4 linked regions of the Arabidopsis thaliana genome follow. The protein of the gene in region 1 purifies or fractionates together with the protein of each later gene. This does not show direct contact. Each region holds a gene or a part of one and is shown on either strand. Other genes may lie near its edges. The genes, in order: AT3G16680, AT5G38640, ELF7 and AT1G62020.

Evidence for each region.
Region 2: the proteins of AT3G16680 (region 1) and AT5G38640 fractionate together in Arabidopsis thaliana (co-fractionation; one large-scale study listed by BioGRID). This does not show direct contact.
Region 3: the proteins of AT3G16680 (region 1) and ELF7 fractionate together in Arabidopsis thaliana (co-fractionation; one large-scale study listed by BioGRID). This does not show direct contact.
Region 4: the proteins of AT3G16680 (region 1) and AT1G62020 fractionate together in Arabidopsis thaliana (co-fractionation; one large-scale study listed by BioGRID). This does not show direct contact.

The regions. Positions count from the first base shown.
Region 1 is NC_003074.8:5,681,430-5,684,825, reverse strand, and holds AT3G16680 (DNA binding / DNA-directed RNA polymerase), read right to left. Parts: upstream 1,491-3,396; 5' UTR 1,302-1,490; intron 1,175-1,301; 5' UTR 1,130-1,174; coding exon 989-1,129; intron 903-988; coding exon 799-902; intron 715-798; coding exon 696-714; 3' UTR 548-695; downstream 1-547. Other genes in the region: SWEET16 (Nodulin MtN3 family protein), read left to right, coding at 1-39, 138-263; AT3G16670 (Pollen Ole e 1 allergen and extensin family protein), read right to left, coding at 2,715-2,998, 3,146-3,326.
Region 2 is NC_003076.8:15,467,135-15,472,280, reverse strand, and holds AT5G38640 (NagB/RpiA/CoA transferase-like superfamily protein), read left to right. Parts: upstream 1-1,556; 5' UTR 1,557-1,606; coding exon 1,607-2,093; intron 2,094-2,196; coding exon 2,197-2,316; intron 2,317-2,468; coding exon 2,469-2,830; intron 2,831-2,993; coding exon 2,994-3,738; intron 3,739-3,831; coding exon 3,832-3,928; intron 3,929-4,020; coding exon 4,021-4,075; intron 4,076-4,095; exon of another isoform or gene 4,096-4,198; coding exon 4,199-4,261; 3' UTR 4,262-4,602; downstream 4,603-5,146. Other genes in the region: AT5G38650 (Proteasome maturation factor UMP1), read left to right, coding at 1-7, 426-523, 973-1,073; APE1 (acclimation of photosynthesis to environment), read left to right, coding at 1-7, 426-523, 973-1,073; CYB-1 (cytochrome B561-1), read right to left, coding at 4,770-5,066.
Region 3 is NC_003070.9:30,000,008-30,005,812, reverse strand, and holds ELF7 (hydroxyproline-rich glycoprotein family protein), read left to right. Parts: upstream 1-1,729; 5' UTR 1,730-1,843; coding exon 1,844-2,439; intron 2,440-2,517; coding exon 2,518-2,586; intron 2,587-2,666; coding exon 2,667-2,774; intron 2,775-2,858; coding exon 2,859-3,039; intron 3,040-3,128; coding exon 3,129-3,205; intron 3,206-3,288; coding exon 3,289-3,408; intron 3,409-3,837; coding exon 3,838-3,943; intron 3,944-4,175; coding exon 4,176-4,262; intron 4,263-4,367; coding exon 4,368-4,436; intron 4,437-4,524; coding exon 4,525-4,593; intron 4,594-4,685; coding exon 4,686-4,829; intron 4,830-4,926; coding exon 4,927-5,070; 3' UTR 5,071-5,275; downstream 5,276-5,805. Other genes in the region: AT1G79740 (hAT transposon superfamily), read left to right, coding at 1-739, 1,046-1,446. UniProt on the Arabidopsis thaliana protein: Component of the PAF1 complex (PAF1C) which is involved in histone modifications such as methylation on histone H3 'Lys-4' (H3K4me3). Involved in regulation of flowering time.
Region 4 is NC_003070.9:22,917,710-22,924,555, forward strand, and holds AT1G62020 (Coatomer, alpha subunit), read left to right. Parts: upstream 1-1,777; 5' UTR 1,778-1,952; intron 1,953-2,081; 5' UTR 2,082-2,104; coding exon 2,105-2,312; intron 2,313-2,416; coding exon 2,417-2,911; intron 2,912-3,071; coding exon 3,072-6,019; 3' UTR 6,020-6,315; downstream 6,316-6,846. Other genes in the region: AT1G62030 (Cysteine/Histidine-rich C1 domain family protein), read right to left, coding at 6,600-6,846. UniProt on the Arabidopsis thaliana protein: The coatomer is a cytosolic protein complex that binds to dilysine motifs and reversibly associates with Golgi non-clathrin-coated vesicles, which further mediate biosynthetic protein transport from the ER, via the Golgi up to the trans Golgi network.

The sequences.
Region 1 (3,396 bases):
GGTGTCTACGCTTTACTCCTACACGATATGTTTCTACTAGTAAGTATCATTTTGGTATCAAATGTTTTTAAAAAGAAAGCGAGATTTTTTTTGTTTTTATCATAATATTTAAACGAATTTGTATTTTGTGTGTGTAGGTGCCAAATGGAATGGGATTCTTTCTTGGGATAATGCAACTCCTAATTTATGCCTATTACAGAAATGCCGAACCAATTGTAGAAGATGAAGAAGGCCTCATACCAAATCAACCTCTCCTCGCTTAACCTCGTCTTTTACCCATCAAAATTTCTAAAATAATTTATCCTGACAAACAAAATAAATATTCGATTCTTTTTTCGGTTGAGTATTGGTTTTTGACTGTGTCCTAGCTATTAAAAAAATTCTCTTTTCTTTTTTTTTTTCTCTCCGGATATGACAGTTTTAAGTTTACATTGCAAACATTATTCAATGATTACTTTTTGGTCACACTATGTTTTCTTAATCGAGATATATGACCATTATTGGAATAATGCTAGGCCTGAATCATGCATACATCATTATAACGCCTCCCAAACAAGGTCATAAATAAATCATTGTCAACGGTTTTGGTTATATAACATAGCGATAAGTAATATAACGACCAGATGTTTCACTCAGTCGAGAGATCTTGACGACTTCGCCACGTTTTAGTCCAAAGTATCTCGCAATTGGATCAGTCACGTGAATCCTTGGAAGCTAACAACACCAACAGGTTCCAAATCTTTAATCACCCAAAACTAATAACAATACTTTATTTCTATGTGCAAAAAAACTACAAACCTGGTTCTCTTTCTCTCTAGAAACTTTTGCTTCTCTTCAGTAGTAAGAGCTTGATGCTCAGGAACAAAAACATGTTCCTTAACGTTCACTATCAATTCCTTCTCCTGAACCAACAGTACTCAATCATGGTTTAGGCTTTTGTGATGATCAAGAGAACAAAAATCAAAATGTGTTTTGTTTTTTTAGTTACCTGGAAAACTTCAATATGAAATATTGGATAGACCGCACCTAAAAAAACCAGAGCCTGGCGAGAAAATGCCTTTATATCTTGCACCACTAAAATTGCTCTGAAAACGTTTGCCGATTTTAACTGGTCTATGTATTTCTTCATCTCCGTAATTCCAACTTTGGAAGCATTGGGGAAGAAAATATAAAGCTACAAAACAACTCAAGACGAGATCAAACACACGAAATTACGCGTTTTAGCAGTTTTATACAATGCAAACCATATCTTCTTATAGGTATAAATACATTGAGAGACATCATACTTAATTATACATTACCTTATCATTGTCATCATTTTTCTTAGCTTTGAGAGTAACAAGAGACTCCTTTTCATATTGTCGCCATATTTCTCAATAAACTCTTCTAGGGTCATTGTAATTTCAGAACCGTCGATTAAGTAGCCACGATCCTTCAGCATCTGCATCAATGTCCTCTGGACTAGGAACAGTCGTTTGATCTCTTCGTCCATTAGAGCCATAGTTTCACCGATTACACTGCTTTGTTAATTACTGTCAGCTATATTGTTATTATTCAGAGGATAATGAATAAGCAATTCAGCTTTTAAAAAAAGATATAAACGTAAAAAGGTTTCTTAAATACAGCAGAAGAGAAGATCAAATTAATATCCACATCATTAGGAGATTAATTAATTATTTCCCAACACTAGTACATAGGGTAATCAATAAACAAGAAAGAGTCGATAATTTACAGAAACAACAAGGAGATTAAAATCCATAAAAGTGATGAGGATTAATACTGTTGGAATTTAGGATAGAAAACGAAAGGATCTAAGAGAGAGAGGAGAGAAGCCCGTACGAAGTGTGCAAATTAGCGAAGGAGATAGGGATGTCTCTAAAGCGGCTGCGAAAAGCATTACTTACAGTTTTTTTTTCTTAACACAGTTAATGTCGGTTTGAAGTCTAGCTAATTAATACAGCGGTAAATACGTTAGAAACTCCGAGTATCGATGGATCACGGAATTAGCAACCGTAGCTAAGAGTTCTCAGTATTCTCGAGTATCAATAGATCAAGAGAAGAGGAGAATTCAAAGACTTGAGATAGAGAAAAGCTTCTCTGTTTTCTTATTCAAAACAACCACCGTATCTCTTACAAGTTTAAGAGTACTTATACGAACTTAAGAATAAATCCCTTGTTGAAACTTGAGGCTAAAGCAACAAATAGCCGACACAGTTTAAAGAAAACCTAATAACAAAAACGAAAGCCCAAAAACAAAGACGAACTTGAAAAGGAAAAGACGTAAAAGGAAATAGGAAGATAGACGCTACATCACTAATTAAACTTGTCCTTATTTTTTCCTCCTACTTGTGTAATAAATACGAAACTCGATAAACTCGATGTAAAATAAAAATAAAGGTGAAATAAAAGCAAATATATATTGGACGCTTACTTAACAGTTTACCAAAAAATATATATATTTATATATATATATATATATATATAGCTAGGGATAGAAAGGGAAATTATTTGTTACATTTCATTACAGCACTATACATGCATGCAAGACCCTGGAAACAGAAGTTTTACAAGAGCTTTATTTCAAAGACAGAGACAGAAACTTGACCTTATTCATGCATACGCAAACAAACGTAAATGGTCATGACACAAAACATATATAGAGAAGGGAAACACACTGTAACCGAACATTAATTATGCTTATAGTTTGGTTTTAGTTAGATTGTGGGGATAAAACCGGTTGGGAGGATAGCGACTATGTTGAGGAGGCCGGAGACGATACTGCCGACGAGATTTAACTGGGAGATCAGTTGTCCGGTGGAAGGGAGGGTGGCGTCGCAGCTGGAGCGAGGGGTTGGGACGACGATACGACAATCGTTGAGGAGTGTGGGAAGGGATATCTGAATTCCGTTTGTAGAAAACGTGAATAATCCGGCAATGTTCGTAATTGTTTCTGCTACGACTCTGTTTAGGTTTCCACACTGGAGCTGGACGACCGCATCTGTTATTTGCACCATTAAATTAGTATGTCAACAAAGAGATCATAAATATTATCTTTTTGTGAATATTCGTCATTAAGATAAATATGATTTCGTGAATCTTTTTATTAGTTCGTATATATAGTATAGGTTAAGAATGGACAACTAACTAGCGAAAGCCGGGGCCGGAGTGCCATTGAGAGGGGCGCCATTGATGGTGCAAAAGAGAACCCCATTGATAATGGGGACATTGATACCACCAAGACCACTCTGAGCGTTAGCCATTGGAGACACCACAATGAGACACAACAAGACCAATGAGAAGGTTATGTGTTTCTTGATAACTGCCATCTTTTTTGGATTACTTGTATATGAAACTATAGAGTAGATAGCAAATATTTGTTTGTGTTGCTTTGGGTTT
Region 2 (5,146 bases), on another chromosome or scaffold:
TTTCTCGGTATGGATCTTTAAATCTGTAGCATATGAAATTCTGAATTACACTGATTATTAGGTATGAGAATGTATGAGAATCTTCCTTAGGCTTTATAGAATACTGTTAAGATTGAAATATGGTTTCCTAATGCTAGTAATCTATCTTGATTAGGTCAATTGCTGTTCTGAATTTTGAAATATTGTTAGTACAAATGTGTATATGAATCATCATAATGATTATATCGAAAATTCGGAATCATAATCGTGTAGTGCTACTTAGAATTAGATTTGCAGAACCATAAACGCGTAGTGGATACTCTTAAATTAGTAGCAATATGTAGATTGAATTCAGAACCATAAACGCATAGAGCAGCCTCTTCTTCATTGAATATTTATTGGTGAATTGAATATTTATTGTATATCTTTTTATGTGGAGTATTCAGGTTTCAGAGACCTCCTGGACCAATTCCTTCATCAATGCTTGGCCTTGAAGTCTACACAGGAGCTCTAGATAATTTTGGTTTTGAGGATTACTTGAATGGTAATTGTTTTACACCAGTTTTCCCATTTGGTTGTGCATTAGAGTTTTCTATTCCTACAATCTTTGAGCATTTCTCAAAACATGACCGTCACATACTGCTTGCATTGTGTAACCAAATCATCCTCATCCTTGCATAGAGTTTAACTCTTTGTTTAGCATATAATAGAAAAGTGTCTCAACTTGTTTATTTCGTTTCGCTTACTAGTCTCTACTTTGTAGATTGTTCCACTCCAAAACACCAATAGACAGTGACAAACCTTTGTTCCAGTTAGACTGTCACAAATCATCGAGCATTGCTCAAAAATTGACTGTCACATACTACTTACTTACATTGTGTAACCAAAGTTGAACTTTTGGTTCAGTATATAAGAGAAAAATGTTTAAACTTTTTAATTCTCTTAGTTTCACAATTTATATTGTTCTGACGATGAATGGTGTATAATCTACAGATCCTCGCGAATCCGAGACGCTGAAACCAGTAGACTTTCACCACGGGATGGAAGTTCGGCTTGGTCTCTCCAAAGGCCCAGCTTCCCCAAGTTTCATGTAGTCACCACCATCAAAGTATTTCCTTCGTCAGGTCTCATATGCTTTTTAATCTGAGTAAGATCATGTTATGAATTTCCACCAGCCCTAAAAGAATCTACTTGTTGTTTGATCTCTTCTCTATACTGTGTCTCCTTTGCTCTGAACATGATAAAACATATGAACTGTGTTTCAGTTCTTATCTCTCTCAGTTCACAATTTGTTGGACTTGCTTAGTTATTTAAATAAGATTATGCTCCTATTTCATTATTATGTTACTGACACCAAAACCTTGGATACTAGATTCTATTAGAATAAATAAATTGCATATGGATTAATACTCTAAACAAAACAAAAACAAAAGAACAAAGTAAGATTGTTTTAGTGACTCGGACTGGACTGTTAACATCGGATAAATCTGAAAAAGTAAATAAATAAAAATAAAAACCCTATTCTACGTTTTATTCGTCTGGGAAAACAAAAATTAAATTCGATCCCCAAAATTAATAATTCCGTCTTCACCGAGAAAAAATCCAGAGCTTCTTCTCCTCCGACGCGATGGAGTCTCGTCGGAACCCTCGCGCCGTAGTAGATCCAAAGGTCCGACAAGTCGGTTTCTTCACATCATCTCAACCCGATTCATCAACTCAACAACAACAACCCGACCCGATCGCTGCTACCTCTGCTTCTTCTTCTTCTTCCACCATTTCTCCTTCCGGTAACTCACTCTCCCCCGTCATGATTCCTCCTCCTCGTCTCAATTCCTCTGATACTTTCCCTCTTCGAGTCGCTGTCGCTGGTGCTGCTGCGTCAGCCGTGTCTCCTTCTTCGTTTTCTTACTCAAGTCGCCGTGATTTCCCTGATGGATCAACGACGGCGTCTCCTGGACGCCATTCCAGGGGTAGTTTCGTAAAATCATCTGTTCCTGTTGCTTCTTCGCTGCCTGGTATTGGGATGGATTCTATGGCTGCTGCTAAATCTAGTAGTGTTCCTGCTAGTGGTTTAACCACTGTCTCCGTCGTTACCATGCCTCCTGGACTTTCTGGTACTCTCACTTTTGATCTTGTGGAATCATAATTTGATTGATTTTGAAATTTGTTCTTTAGGATATATGAGGCTAATGTATTCACAATGTTATATAATTGCAGAGAAGGCTAGTGGAATGGAGGTGCAGAGTGACCAGAAGAAGCCATTGAAAGAGAAAACCACTAAAGCTGAGAGACGAGCTATTCAAGAAGCTCAAAGAGCTGCTAAAGCTGCTGCAAAAGGTGCATTTTTGATTTAAACCAATGTGTGGTTTTATCGCAATGAATGATTCGTCAGCTTAGTACAGAGATTTGATATGCTGGTTGCTCTGTTGTGTTATCGTTGTGTATTTTGCAATATCTTAATCAGTCTGTGTAATACTGTGCTATATCAGCTGATGGTGGGAAGGTGGCACCAGTGTCCTCAGCCTCGGTGGCTTCAACAAGTGTTAAAGCTGCTAAACCAGCGAAGGCTACATCTCAGAAGAATGATGTTGCTGTTGCTACTGGAGCAGCTGAGAAGAAGGGAGGTCCATCTGAAAAAGATAGAAAGAAAGATGCTCCTCATCCCCGCATGCAGTATGATGATGAGAGTAGAGTCGTGAAGGCTAAAAGACGTGCTGTTGTAAAACAGACCGAGGCTAAAAACAGGGTTGAGCTATTTAGGCATTTGCCTCAGTATGAGCATGGCACTCAACTTCCTGATCTCGAGACTAAGTTCTTCCAACTTGACCCTATGCATCCTGCTGTGTACAAGGTATTTGTTTTCTCTTGAATTTATCTGGTTGGTGCTTCTAATAAACTATTAATAATCTCTTTGTTAAAACAAGGAACCGTTTGTTCTAATGAGTGGTTTATATTGCTTCATTAAGATGAATGTTACTTGTATACTGAATGAGTATCAGTTGTTGTGGTATCAGGTTGGTCTTCAATATCTTTCTGGGGATATCTCTGGTGGCAATGCCAGGTGTATTGCGATGCTCCAAGCATTCCAAGAGGTTGTCAAAGATTATTCAACACCGCCTGAGAAGTCTCTTAACAGGGACATGACTGCGAAAATAAGTAGCTACGTCTCCTTCCTCATAGAATGCCGTCCGCTTTCGATTAGCATGGGAAACGCAATACGATTTGTGAAAAACAGGATTGCAAAGCTGCCTATAACACTTTCTGAATCTGAAGCAAAAGCTACTCTTCAGTCAGATATTGAACGGTTCATTAACGAGAAGATCATAGTGGCAGATACGGTGATAGTCAAACATGCTGTTACTAAAATAAGAGACGGTGATGTCCTTCTGACCTACGGATCTCCCACTGCTGTTGAGATGGTAATATTACATGCACATGAACTCAGGAAAAAGTTTCGAGTCTTGGTGGTGGATTCTCGTCCAAAGCTTGAAGGGCAGCTACTGCTTCGTAGATTGATCAAACGAGGCATTAACTGTACATACACTCATATAAATGCCATTTCATATATCATGCATGAAGTCACCAAAGTGTTTTTGGGCGCCTCGTCAGTTTTGTCTAACGGAACAGTTTATTCAAGGGTTGGGACTGCTTGTGTTGCAATGGTTGCAAATGCATTCCGTGTTCCTGTGCTTGTATGTTGCGAAGCCTACAAGTTCCATGAGAGGGTGCAATTGGATTCAATATGTTCCAATGAGCTTGGTATGCAATATCTTCTCTCGATATCAGTATCATCTTATACCGCCTTTGATTTTGTTTTACCTTACATTGGGTTTCTTGCTTCTTTACCTTTAGGTGATCCAAATGCTATTTCAGAAGTTCATGGAAGAGAAGACATAAACTATTTAGATGGCTTGACCAACAACGCAAACCTGCAGTTTTTGAACTTGATGTAAGCTTGTGTTTATCGGAGAAGTGAAACTATGTTCTGTTAATACTAATCCTCTCTGCCACTAAACTCGTTTGTGATTTTTCTAATGACAGGTATGATGCTACACCTTCAGATTACATTTCCATGATAATCACAGATTATGGCATGGTAAGATTAACCATCGTCTCTTAAAAACATAGCATTAGGTTCCTGAAGTCTCAGACCTATAAAATACAGTTTCTCCACTTATTCAGAATCTCAAACCATTGAACGCAATGTTTTCGTTTTCAGGTACCTCCCACAAGTGTGCCTGTCATCGTGAGAGAATATCAGAAAGAACACTTGCTTGTCTAAGCAAAGCTCATTTTTGCGAAAGCTCTTCTTCTCCAACCCCCTCCTCTAGCTCAGGCTCTTCTCATCACAACCCAGATAGAATAACTACCGGCACTGCCTCCCCTCATCCGCTTCTTTTCCTGAGTACCGGGTTCATTTTTTTTGGCCTTGACTTGTTTTTAGAAACTTTTGACTCTGTGAAGAGTGCGATTCATCATCCGCCTCTCCGGGAAGATTTTATCGATATCGGTGATGTTTTTCTTTGTCTGTGATGTATGAGTGAGGCTTCTCTTACTCTCCCTTCTCATGGAGGTTGATACAAATCTTTCTCAGATTCTATGCCAATTTTTGTTGGGTTCAGTCTTCAACATTGGTTACACGTGTTCTCATGCTTTACTTGTATTACAGTCATATATGCACTGCTCGTTAAATCAGTTCAAAAAGACTCAATTACATCACAAATTGTCTCTTAAATAAACAATGTTTCGATAGGTCGAAATGTTGAAAGAGATCTTTTCGAGGGTTTACTCTATTGTGTGAGAACTTGATCCTTGCCACTGACCGGAGTAACCACACCGAGTATCACGAAACCGCCAAGAATAAGGATTAGAACGCCCATTGTGTTGACTAACATTGCCTCTGTGGAATACCGAGTTATCACTTGATTCACTTGCAGGAACGTCACCTTCTCAAGTATCCCTGTGGTTGCAGTCACCAACGCCAATGCATATATGGAAATCCCTAAGAACACATGCCATGGCATCAAACTGGCTCTGCTGTTTCTTGAACCACCCGGGTACCAATAAGTCACAAACCCTGCAGCCCACTGTTTGTAACAATAGATTTGAGTGAGTTCTTGATATTTATTCTTACTGAGTAATGGAGATTGTTATTTTAAAACAAGTC
Region 3 (5,805 bases), on another chromosome or scaffold:
TTGAACATCATCTTAGAAGAATTCTCCAAGGTTGATTGGGTCAATCAATGTATATCGCAAGCGCAGGTCATATCTAAGTTTGTCTACAACAATAGCCCCGTGCTAGATTTATTGAGAAAGTTAACAGGCGGGCAAGATATTATCCGAAGCGGTGTCACAAGGTCTGTCTCCAATTTTCTATCATTACAGTCAATGATGAAACAAAAGGCAAGGCTAAAACACATGTTCAATTGCCCAGAGTATACCACAAATACTAACAAACCACAGAGCATTTCATGCGTGAATATCCTAGAGGATAATGATTTCTGGAGAGCTGTGGAAGAAAGTGTGGCTATTTCCGAGCCTATCCTGAAAGTGTTGAGGGAAGTTTCTACTGGAAAGCCCGCTGTAGGTTCTATATACGAGTTAATGTCCAAGGCCAAGGAGTCAATACGGACATACTACATCATGGATGAGAATAAGCATAAGGTCTTTTCTGACATAGTTGATACTAACTGGTGTGAGCATTTGCATTCACCTCTTCATGCAGCAGCAGCATTCTTGAACCCCAGTATTCAGTATAACCCAGAGATAAAGTTCCTCACTTCCTTGAAAGAAGATTTTTTCAAAGTGTTGGAGAAACTTCTTCCTACTAGCGATCTACGGCGTGATATTACAAATCAGATATTCACTTTCACTAGGGCAAAGGGAATGTTCGGCTGTAACCTGGCCATGGAGGCGAGGGATTCAGTTTCACCAGGTATGGACAATAAATACATTTATATTTTCTTTAAGTCATGACTAGTGAACAGAGATGTATAGGTAGTCTGAGTCGGGAGAAAAATAATCCACTTATCTATGACCGCAATTAAAGCTATGGTCTTATTACACAACTAAATAAGTCCAGGTTGATATAGCCTGGCACGTAGTAAACCGAATTGCAAAACTAGTAGATATCTTCCCCTCACCAGGCTATTAGGGGTATGGTCTGGGATCTTTAGAATTGGTAACGAAGCACTAGAAGACTAGAAGTTGATGTCTAATAATGGTTTGCTTAGTAATGCAGGTCTCTGGTGGGAGCAGTTTGGTGACTCAGCACCTGTTTTGCAGCGGGTGGCCATCAGAATACTAAGCCAAGTTTGCAGCGGTTACAACTTGGAACGCCAATGGAGCACATTCCAGCAGATGCACTGGGAAAGGCGAAACAAGATTGACAGAGAAATATTGAACAAGTTGGCGTACGTGAATCAGAATCTAAAGTTAGGGAGGATGATAACCTTGGAGACAGACCCAATTGCCCTGGAGGACATTGACATGATGTCGGAGTGGGTGGAAGAGGCAGAGAATCCCAGTCCTGCCCAGTGGCTTGACCGTTTTGGGACCGCCCTTGATGGAGGCGACTTGAACACCAGGCAGTTTGGCGGTGCTATTTTCAGTGCCAACGACCATAACATCTTCGGCTTGTGAAGTCCTGGTAAGAGGTTTTCATAAGTTGGTCCAGCGTGTTGAGTGTTTAACCACACACCTCGGTTCGCTATACTGTACATAATGTTTGAGTAATTATCAATGTAGAAAATAAATATTTTGTGTTCCTCACACAGTCACACGTCGATGAGCTTGGTGGTACAAAGCATGTTTCGTTCATATTTGGGATTCATAAAACGGTGAGCTTAAGATTGTTTTTGTTTGTATTGAAGCCGTAATTATCAGAACCCATATGATAGTAGCGGTTATTGGGCCGCTAGTGAGGCCCAAATTAAAGTAAAAAGGAAAAATCAGTCTGACCGGAGCTATATAATTAATATATATCAAGAAGACTCGTTTTAGTTGGTTTAGGTGATTCAGATCACAAAGTACACCGAGAATGGCGTCGTACCGGCCGCCGTATCCTCCTCTTCCTCAGCCACCATCTCAAAATTCTTTGGCCCCTCCGCCTCCCCCGCCGTCGTTACCCCCTCCTGTTCCTCCCCCACCACCGTCGCATCAACCGTACTCATATCCTCCGCCGCCGCCTCCTCCTCCGCATGCTTACTATCAGCAGGGGCCCCACTATCCTCAATTCAACCAGCTCCAAGCTCCTCCTCCTCCGCCACCTCCCTCAGCTCCTCCTCCGCTCGTTCCCGATCCTCCTCGACACCAGGGTCCCAATGACCACGAGAAAGGGGCCTCCAAGCAGGTTGGAAGGCGGGAGCGTGCTAAACCGGATCCATCGAAGCACCACCACAGGTCTCATCTTCCTCATTCTAAGAAAATCGAGACCGAAGAAGAGAGGAGGCTTAGGAAGAAGAGGGAGTTAGAGAAACAAAGGCAAGACGAAAAACATAGACAGCAGATGAAAAATTCTCACAAGTCTCAGATGCCCAAGGGACACACCGAGGAGAAGAAGCCGACGCCCCTACTCACCACCGACAGGGTCGAGAATAGGTTAAAGAAACCAACCACCTTCATCTGCAAGCTCAAGTCAGTATTCTTCAAACGACTACCTAAATCTTTTTTACATATTATTGTTAGACTCTGATATTCATCTTCTTCTTCAAGGTTCCGGAATGAGCTCCCTGACCCTAGTGCACAGCTTAAGCTTATGACCATTAAACGGGATAAAGATCAGTATGTTTCTCTATTATTGCCAAATTTTATTTCTGTGTTATTCTACTGTCCTTACTTGCCAGCTATTTTGATCCCACTAGATTTACAAAGTATACCATCACATCCCTGGAGAAATTATGGAAACCAAAAATCTTTGTCGAGCCTGATCTTGGAATACCCTTGGATCTGCTTGACCTAAGTGTGTACAAGTATGTGCTCTCAATAAAGTCTTAGTGTCTTTAATGCCAGCGACCTCATCTACTGGGGATACTTACTGTTGTAGCTCTTTTCAGCCCTCCCAAAGTCAAGGCACCTCTTGCCCCTGAAGATGAAGAACTCTTGCGTGATGATGACGCTGTTACACCTATTAAGAAAGATGGCATCCGGAGGAAAGAAAGACCTACTGATAAAGGCATGTCTTGGCTCGTCAAAACACAATACATTTCTTCTATTAATAACGAATCGGCAAGACAGGTATCTATCCATCTCGCTTGTTGGAAATTTGTTTTGCCATGTATAGCTTCTAGAGACAGTTTCCAATTTCCTATGTTTACCTTGTGTAGTCGCTAACGGAGAAGCAAGCAAAGGAACTGCGAGAGATGAAAGGAGGCATCAACATCTTGCACAATCTTAACAATAGGTGTGTTGTTTCTCAAATATGTGTATTTCTAAGGAAAGTGAGAAAAAAAAAGGTCTAATGGTTTATTTTTCTTTGGTCTCTAGAGAGAGACAAATCAAGGATATTGAAGCATCCTTTGAGGCATGCAAGTCTCGACCAGTTCATGCCACCAATAAAAACTTGCAGCCGGTTGAAGTTCTACCACTGTTGCCATATTTTGATAGGTTGGATGCTCTTTATTTCCCCTTGCAGACAATCTTAAATCTGAAATACCGAATCAGGCAAAATTTTCTCATAATAGTCCTACATGTAGACACAGCTTGAAAGCTGACACTTTACAGATTATCTTTATGTTGGCTCTCTCTGAAGGATCTCCTGTGGTCGGAAACATGCACGAATAGTTTTCCTATAGGATAGTGTAATCAATCGGGTGGGAAAATAGGCAGCCTTGTTAAGGTCTAACTATACAACACTTAAGAGAGATGTTGGGTCTTTAATTTTTCCCTTTTCTCTGCTCCAACTCTTGTTCAAATGTTTCTTTGCTAGGGTTTTAGTGTATTGCCTTTTGGATGAAACATCCACTAATAATTTTCACTGAACCTGTAGCATACTATGCTATTACATTTGACTCTCCCCTTCCTTTTTTGACACAGGTACGATGAGCAGTTTGTGGTAGCGAATTTTGATGGTGCTCCTATAGCTGATTCTGAATTCTTTGGCAAGTTGGACCCTTCAATTCGTGATGCACATGAGTCACGGGTGAGTTATGAGTTACCGATATCCATGAGTATGGTCCAATTATCTCTGGTCTCTATCATAGGGATACTTTGTTCCTGAGAGAAAAGATGACTGTATCAACTATATCGTTTTTGTTGCTTACATAAGTGTACTTGAATGAGGATAGGATATATGATATATGGGGCTGAATCTTAACTATGGTTGATTGCCTTATTTTCATATTGATGACGAGCTCTGACCTCATACTCCACAGGCCATTTTGAAAAGCTATGTGGTGGCTGGATCAGACACTGCCAATCCAGAAAAATTTCTGGCGTACATGGTTCCTTCCTTGGATGAGGTAGACATGCCTCTCCATAAACTGATCTCTCTTTTACACAAATTTTGACAAGTCAAGAAAAGTTCAGTTTGATTGATGTGTTATCAATTTATGTTGCTGTGCCAGTTGTCTAAGGATATCCATGATGAAAACGAAGAAATCTCTTACACTTGGGTTCGCGAATACCTCTGGGATGTATGTACTATAGCCAATGTGGTTTAAGTGAAATTTTGATTGTTTGAGTTGCAGATTGAAATAAATATGTCACCTGATGTTATAACAGGTACAACCCAATGCAAACGATCCTGGCACATACCTGGTATCATTTGACAATGGGACCGCTAGCTATCTGGTATTGCATCGGTTTTTGTTACATATTCCAGTTGTGTATCTTTTTTTTCTTCTGTCTATAATACTTTGGGATGACCGTTGAGAATTTGGCAGCCCCTACCCATGAGGTTGAACTTGAGGAAGAAAAGGGCCAGGGAAGGAAGATCTTCTGATGAGATTGAACACTTTCCAGTACCTTCAAGGGTAACTGTAAGGCGGAGATCAACTGTATCAGTGATAGAACATAAAGATTCAGGGGTATAGTAAATCCATACATTTAGCCTTTAAAAGAGTAACACGTGGAAAGTTCTAGTTCTCTTACCAATTCCTTTGGACTTTGGGGCTTTGGATGTAGGTTTACTCTTCTAGGGTTGGTGCTTCGAGCTCCAAGATGAGAAGATTAGAGGACGAAGGCGGCCTTGGTAGATCTTGGAAACACGAGCCGGAACAAGATGCCAATCAATATAGTGATGGTAATGAGGATGATTATTCTGAATGAACGTTTCGTGTACCTCAAACTATTGAATCGGTTTTGCAATGGTTTTCCTGCAAGGCTATTGTAGGCTAATTTAAAAGCGTAATATGGCCTCCACCACAGCTTTGTAGTTTGGCAAGTAAAGAAATTTTGATTTGGATAGCTGGCGAAGTTGAAAAACGATTTTACATGTACACGTCCATAATTAATGAATTGGCCATTTACGACTTTGATCCTATCTAATGTGGCAGCTCCGTTCATCTTCAGTGGCTATGTTCATGAGAACACATCCCTGAGAGAATTCCTTGTACAGAGAAGCCTTCTTAGATACTTACTTACACTGTCTTTCTACCAGAGCTGATTAGAATCTGTAATAATATTATACAGGTTCTACTACCAGTAATTAATTAGGATGGATTAGAGCAAATCTTGTACTGTAGTAGATCCCAGTGTTGCAATTGTGGTTATTTTACAGGTTCCCGAAAATATGACATTTTCAAAATTTCTTGTACAAATGAAATTATTATGGTCCACTATGTTTTCTTTTACGAAGGGCTTTTTCTATTAGGTGGGCCTATTATTATATGAAACTGGGTTTCCTCTTGTGTAGCCCAGTGGGCAGTATAAAAATCAGCCCAAAACATAACTGCGAAATTCAAATTCTTACCCACTCGCACAATTAGCGCGTCGACGCCACCTCCTCAAAATCTGTGGACCGTTTTTGGCTGTTTTTGGTAAAATTAAAAAATTGGGCGCGTG
Region 4 (6,846 bases), on another chromosome or scaffold:
AGTAGAAAAGCTAGTTGAGGATTTATAATAAGGTAAATAAGTAGAAAAGACTTTTATAGTCTATTGATATATCCAATCCATTTACTTGATCCATCTCTGTATGCAATCTGACTGACAAATTGTAATTGTTAAACTCTTTTTTACTAGCTTTTTTTAACTCTTCAACATTAAAAGTCTAGAAACAGAAGACAACTATTTACTACATGATATTTTTGGTTATTTGTTAACAAGAAGCACTGTGGTAAAGCAGCCGAGGATGAATAATTTTAGTGTTTGTTTGATGAGTGTTAATCTTCATGGAATCCATAACCACAAAGATTTGGTTGATCCATCTATATAAAGCAAATAGGTGTAGTTAATCAATTCAAGGTCTTTTAGTGTTATCCCTTGCCAAGGAGGGCAACACTAGAGTCTAGAGTTTCGTTTTCCACTTGAGTCCTTCTGTTGGAGACAGTGTCTTCATTACACTTCCTAACCGATTCCAAAGCTTCAAATTTCATCAAACCTGCAACATAATGATGACTTCACAATGGTGTCGAGTGAGCTCCATTAAAACATGTATAGGCCTAGGATTCAGCATAATGATGATCAAGCGCTATCTTGAGTGCATTGTAATTTGATGAAAGAAGTTGACTTGACCAGTGGCAACTAGAGGCTGGAGAAGAGGATTGTCCCAAGTTATAACCTAATCAAAGCTGGTACGTCTCGAAGCATGATGATAAGCTGGTATTGGAGATTACTGTTTTTGCTCCAAGGAATGTCATATCAAGAAACTGTGCATTGTTCTTGTACCTCGCTAGCATCTTCCTTTGTTGGTTACATGGTTTGCTATTCCAACCAAGCTCTGGTACTATAAGGCAAAAGGAAAGGAGAAGGAGACCATTAACTAGTCTATATTACAACAATACATTATATGTTTCGTGGATATCTCTTTTTCTTATCTTCTCTGCTGTTTTCCTTTCTTTTGTAAAGATTGTTCTTTGAACATGAATCAATACACTTTAGAATCTATTAAGATAGCAAATAAGTTGATGCAAAGAGCAAGTGTGAGATGGATAATTGAACGGGAGTGAATGAACCTGTCACTAGATCTCTAATGGTTGTTGTTACCTCCTGGCTCCTCCTCAGCTGCCTAAACTGCGTTTAGCTCGGCCGCCTATCACTTTTTTTTTGTGTGTAGGTTTGATTGGTCTCTCTCATTCAGAATCATATGATCAATTTGTTTTCAAGTTTTGCAATGTTTTTGAAAACATTACATTTACGCTAATTGGATTTTTAAACTCGATAACCGTGATTACAAATAGAGACGTAATATTTTTTAGATTATTTCTCATGTTTTTTTGTGATTTGTTCATCTTATGCATAATTTATTTTTCACTTATGTTCAACAATAGTATACAAAAATTTAGAAATGCTCATCATATATAAAATCACTTTTGACGTTCTGAGGCTCCAATCTATTAAAAATAAACGATATAGATGATAATATATACGTCTTTTAATCAAGTGAATGAATATTTAGTTTTTTTTTTTTTAATAGGCTTCACTTTGTTTCTTACTCAGTTTAATTTTTATTTGGTTTTTATAAAATTACAACTTAGTTTTAATCAAAGGTTCTAAATTAAATTTGACCAAAAACATAAAAAAATAATTACGTAAGAGCTTTTTTGGCAGAAAATAATTTAGAGTAATTATTTATTCCTTCGACGTTAAAAAAGAATAGGAAAAAATATGTTTAAATTGCATCATTCGACCAATAAGATTAGAACTCATCCTTTTTTTTTTTAAGGATATATAGAATTCATCACTGAATACATGTTTTTATCCCAAATTAACGCAAAAGAGAGAACTCGAGATCTGGGCATAGCGACTCACTCAGATCTATACACCTTCTTCTTCTTCTTCTTCTTCCTCTTCCTCTTCGCTTCGTTCGTAAACTCATCTGATCTGTGGTAACCACCATTGTTCCTCTCCTTACGATTTCGAATTTCTGTTTTGATCTCACTACCATTGTTGCAATTTAGATCTATTTCTAATTGTTCGTGATTCGCTTTTTTTTTTCTGTGATCTGGTTTTTGTAGAGTGCCATTATCGTTGAGAGATTATGTTGACAAAGTTCGAAACCAAAAGTAACAGAGTTAAGGGACTGAGTTTTCACCCTAAACGACCATGGATTCTCGCGAGTTTGCACAGTGGCGTGATCCAGCTCTGGGATTATCGTATGGGTACTTTGATCGATAGATTCGACGAACACGAAGGACCTGTTCGTGGTGTTCATTTCCACAATTCTCAGCCTCTCTTCGTCTCCGGAGGTATATATAATTCGGAATCATTGTTAGTGAAATCGTATAAGCTCAAAAGAATGGATCTATACATGATTTGTTGCATTACAATGATGTTGATCTTGATATTGCAGGGGATGATTACAAGATTAAAGTGTGGAACTACAAAAACCACAGGTGCCTTTTCACTCTTCTAGGGCATCTTGATTATATCCGCACGGTTCAGTTCCATCATGAGTACCCATGGATTGTGAGTGCAAGTGATGATCAAACTATCCGTATATGGAACTGGCAATCACGGACTTGTGTTTCTGTATTGACTGGTCACAATCATTATGTTATGTGTGCTTCTTTCCATCCGAAAGAAGACCTCGTCGTATCAGCTTCGTTAGATCAGACTGTTCGTGTTTGGGATATTGGTGCTCTTAGGAAGAAGACTGTATCTCCTGCTGATGATATCATGAGGTTGACTCAGATGAATAGTGATCTTTTTGGTGGAGTTGATGCCATTGTCAAGTACGTTCTTGAAGGTCATGATAGAGGTGTAAACTGGGCTGCTTTTCATCCCACCCTGCCTCTTATTGTCTCGGGTGCAGATGACCGCCAAGTAAAGCTGTGGCGTATGAATGGTAATTATTTGGTGGTATACTTTTGTGCTTACAATTTTTATATGCTATCAATCGTCAATGATGTTACTGATATGAAAATATTCTGCATGCCTTAATCCTTAGATGAATCTCGAAATTGCAAAGACGAGTTGGTAACATGTTTTTAACGATATCATTGCAGAAACTAAAGCTTGGGAGGTGGATACATTGCGAGGCCATATGAATAACGTTTCATCTGTTATGTTCCATGCAAAACAGGACATAATTGTATCAAACTCTGAAGATAAGAGCATCCGTGTCTGGGATGCTACCAAGCGAACTGGACTTCAGACTTTCCGTCGTGAACATGATAGATTCTGGATTCTTGCAGTTCACCCTGAGATGAATCTACTAGCAGCAGGACATGACAGTGGCATGATTGTGTTCAAGCTTGAGAGAGAACGTCCTGCATTTGCTTTGAGTGGGGATTCTTTGTTCTATGCCAAGGATAGATTCTTGCGGTACTATGAATATTCAACTCAAAGGGATTCCCAAGTTATCCCTATACGGCGTCCGGGTACTCCAAGCTTGAATCAAAGTCCTAGGACTCTATCATACAGTCCCACTGAAAATGCAGTTTTGATCTGCTCAGATCTGGATGGTGGTTCGTATGAGTTGTACATCATACCGAAAGATAGTGTTGGCAGGAGTGACGTTGTGCAAGATGCAAAGAGAGGGACAGGTGGCTCTGCAGTATTCATTGCCCGTAACCGATTTGCTGTTCTCGAGAAAAGCACCAGCCAAGTGCTAGTCAAGAATCTAAAGAATGAGGTGGTTAAAAAGAGTCCTCTGCCTATTCCCACAGATGCTATCTTTTATGCTGGGACTGGGAATTTGCTTTGTAGATCTGAGGATAAAGTAGTTATCTTTGACCTCCAGCAAAGGCTTGTTCTTGGTGAGCTTCAGACACCATTTGTTAGGTACGTTGTTTGGTCCAGTGATATGGAGAGTGTTGCTTTGCTCAGCAAACATACTATCATTATCGCGAGCAAAAAACTTGTTCTCCAGTGCACGCTTCATGAGACGATACGTGTGAAAAGTGGAGCTTGGGACGATAATGGTGTCTTCATTTACACAACTTTGAATCATATCAAGTACTGTCTTCCTAATGGAGATAGTGGAATCATCCGAACCCTGGATGTCCCAATCTATATCACCAAGGTGTCTGGTAATACAATCTTTTGCTTGGATCGGGATGGCAAAAACAAGGCTATCACCATTAATGCAACCGAGTACATTTTCAAGCTTTCACTGCTGAGGAAGAGATATGATCATGTCATGAGCATGATAAAGAACTCTCAGCTATGTGGACAGGCTATGATTGCTTACCTGCAGCAGAAAGGATTCCCTGAAGTTGCCCTCCATTTTGTTGAAGATGAGAGGATCCGATTCAATCTGGCTCTTGAAAGTGGCAACATCAGTGTGGCTGTTGCATCCGCTACACAGATTAACGAGAAAGACCACTGGTATAGACTTGGAGTGGAGGCTCTTCGCCAAGGTAATTCTGGAATTGTTGAGTTTGCATACCAGCAGACAAAGAACTTTGAGAGGTTATCTTTTCTTTATCTCATTACTGGAAATTTGGACAAGCTTTCAAAGTTGATGAAGATTGCAGAAGTGAAGAACAACGTAATGGGACAGTTTCACAATGCTCTCTACCTAGGAGATGTTAAAGAGCGTGTTAAGATACTGGAGAATGCTGGTCATTTGCCTCTAGCTTATATCACAGCTTCGGTTCATGGTTTAAATGACATTGCTGAGCGACTGGCAACTGAGTTAGGAGACAACGTGCCCTCATTGCCTGAAGGAAAAACTCCATCGCTTCTAATGCCACCGACACCCATCATGTGTGGTGGTGATTGGCCTCTTCTTAGAGTGATGAAAGGAATATTTGAAGGAGGACTTGAGAGTGCAGACAGAGGAGGTACTGTTGATGAAGAAGATGTTGAAGGGGATTGGGGTGAGGAACTTGACATTAATGTTGATGGAATGGAGAACAGAGATATTGAAGACATTTTGGCGGCTGCAGAAGCAGGTGAAGAAGAAAACGATGAGGAAGGTGGATGGGGACTTGAAGACTTGGTGCTCCCACCAGAGCTTGACACTCCTAAAGCCTCTGCTAATGCACGTTCATCTGTTTTTGTGACACCTCCCCAAGGTATGCCCGTAAGTCAGAGCTGGAGCCAGAAATCTTCTCTTGCTGCTGAGCAAGCCGCAGCGGGAAGCTTCGACACTGCAATGCGTCTGCTCCACAGACAGCTTGGTATCAAGAACTTTACACCTTTGAAATCGATGTTTCTAGATCTGTTCAATGGCAGCCATAGCTATCTGCGTGCTTTTTCTTCATGTCCTGTGGTTCCACTTGCCATTGAGCGTGGATGGAGCGAGTCTTCCAGTCCCAACGTCCGTAGCCCACCAGCTCTTGTTTATGATTTCTCTCAGCTAGACGAGAAGCTCAAATCCGGCTACAAAGCTACAACAACTGGGAAATTCACTGAGGCTCTCCGTCTCTTCCTTTCTATCCTGCACACCATCCCTCTAGTGGTAGTCGAGACAAGAAGAGAAGTGGATGAGGTCAAGGAATTAATCGTTATCGTTAAAGAATATGTCCTTGGTCTTCAAATGGAGCTCAAGAGGAGAGAGATGAAAGATGATCCGGTGAGGCAGCAAGAGCTCGCTGCTTACTTCACTCACTGCAACCTCCAAACACCTCACTTACGGCTTGCGCTGCTTAGTGCAATGGGTGTCTGCTACAAGGCAAAGAACCTCGCCACTGCTTCTAATTTCGCCAGAAGACTGTTGGAAACAAGCCCAGTTGATAGCCAAGCCAAGATGGCTAGACAAGTTGTGCAAGCCGCTGAACGTAACATGACCGATGAAACAAAGCTTAACTACGACTTCAGGAACCCTTTTGTGGTATGTGGTTCCACATATGTCCCGATCTACAGAGGACAGAAAGACGTCTCATGTCCTTACTGCACCGCCCGGTTTGTACCAAACCAGGAAGGAAACATCTGCACGGTCTGTGATCTAGCAGTGATTGGCGCAGACGCATCTGGTTTGTTATGCTCTCCATCTCAAGTCCGGTGATCAATTTCAGATTTCATAATCAATACAGAGATGCTCTATTAACAGAATAAGAGTGTTGAACTTTTGGTGTTTTTGTGATTGTGTACTTACCAATCAGGTTTGAGGATTTTTCTCGTTGCAGGTTTTTATTACTCTTTTAAAAGTTGTTTCTTATCTTTTAGTACACATGAGAACTTTAGCTTCTTGCTTTATAATTTCTCTTTTTGATGCATAGTAGCACTGGATAACTTGTAATTTCAATTTCGGAAATTATGGTTTACTTGTGAAATTATGATTTTATAAATTCTCCAAATTTTTGAATTTTGTGAGTGTCGTTCCTAATTACAAATTTATCTACAACGAAATGTACCGATAAAGTCCAATGTATTTTTTTAATTGAACCGATAGTAAACCAAATTGTTTAGTCAACTAACTGTAGTTCTAGGGAAAGATAACACTGTAACATGTTGATTGCTAAATAGTTTTTTCTCCTTGCATGTTTTATCAATCGAGCTTTTATAAAAAGATTGATCCGACAGAACCCGACGCAACTAAACCGATAGTAACACAAAAACAGAGACACATCAGAGAACACTAATCTCTACGTCAGTGCTGAGAACTCATAATTTCCGTAGCCTCTCCGTTGTAGATATTCGCGATGACCAGCTGTGTTCACCTTTGTAGACAAAAAATAACCAACACAAGATGTGGAACAAAATTTTGAACCAGACGACTCCAAAACTATTTTGTGTGGACAACGCTTCTTGCAATGAGAGCAAATAGGTCGAGTCATATGATGATCGTTGGCCCGAACATATATCTTCTCTCCATTGAAGGAGAAGCTTATC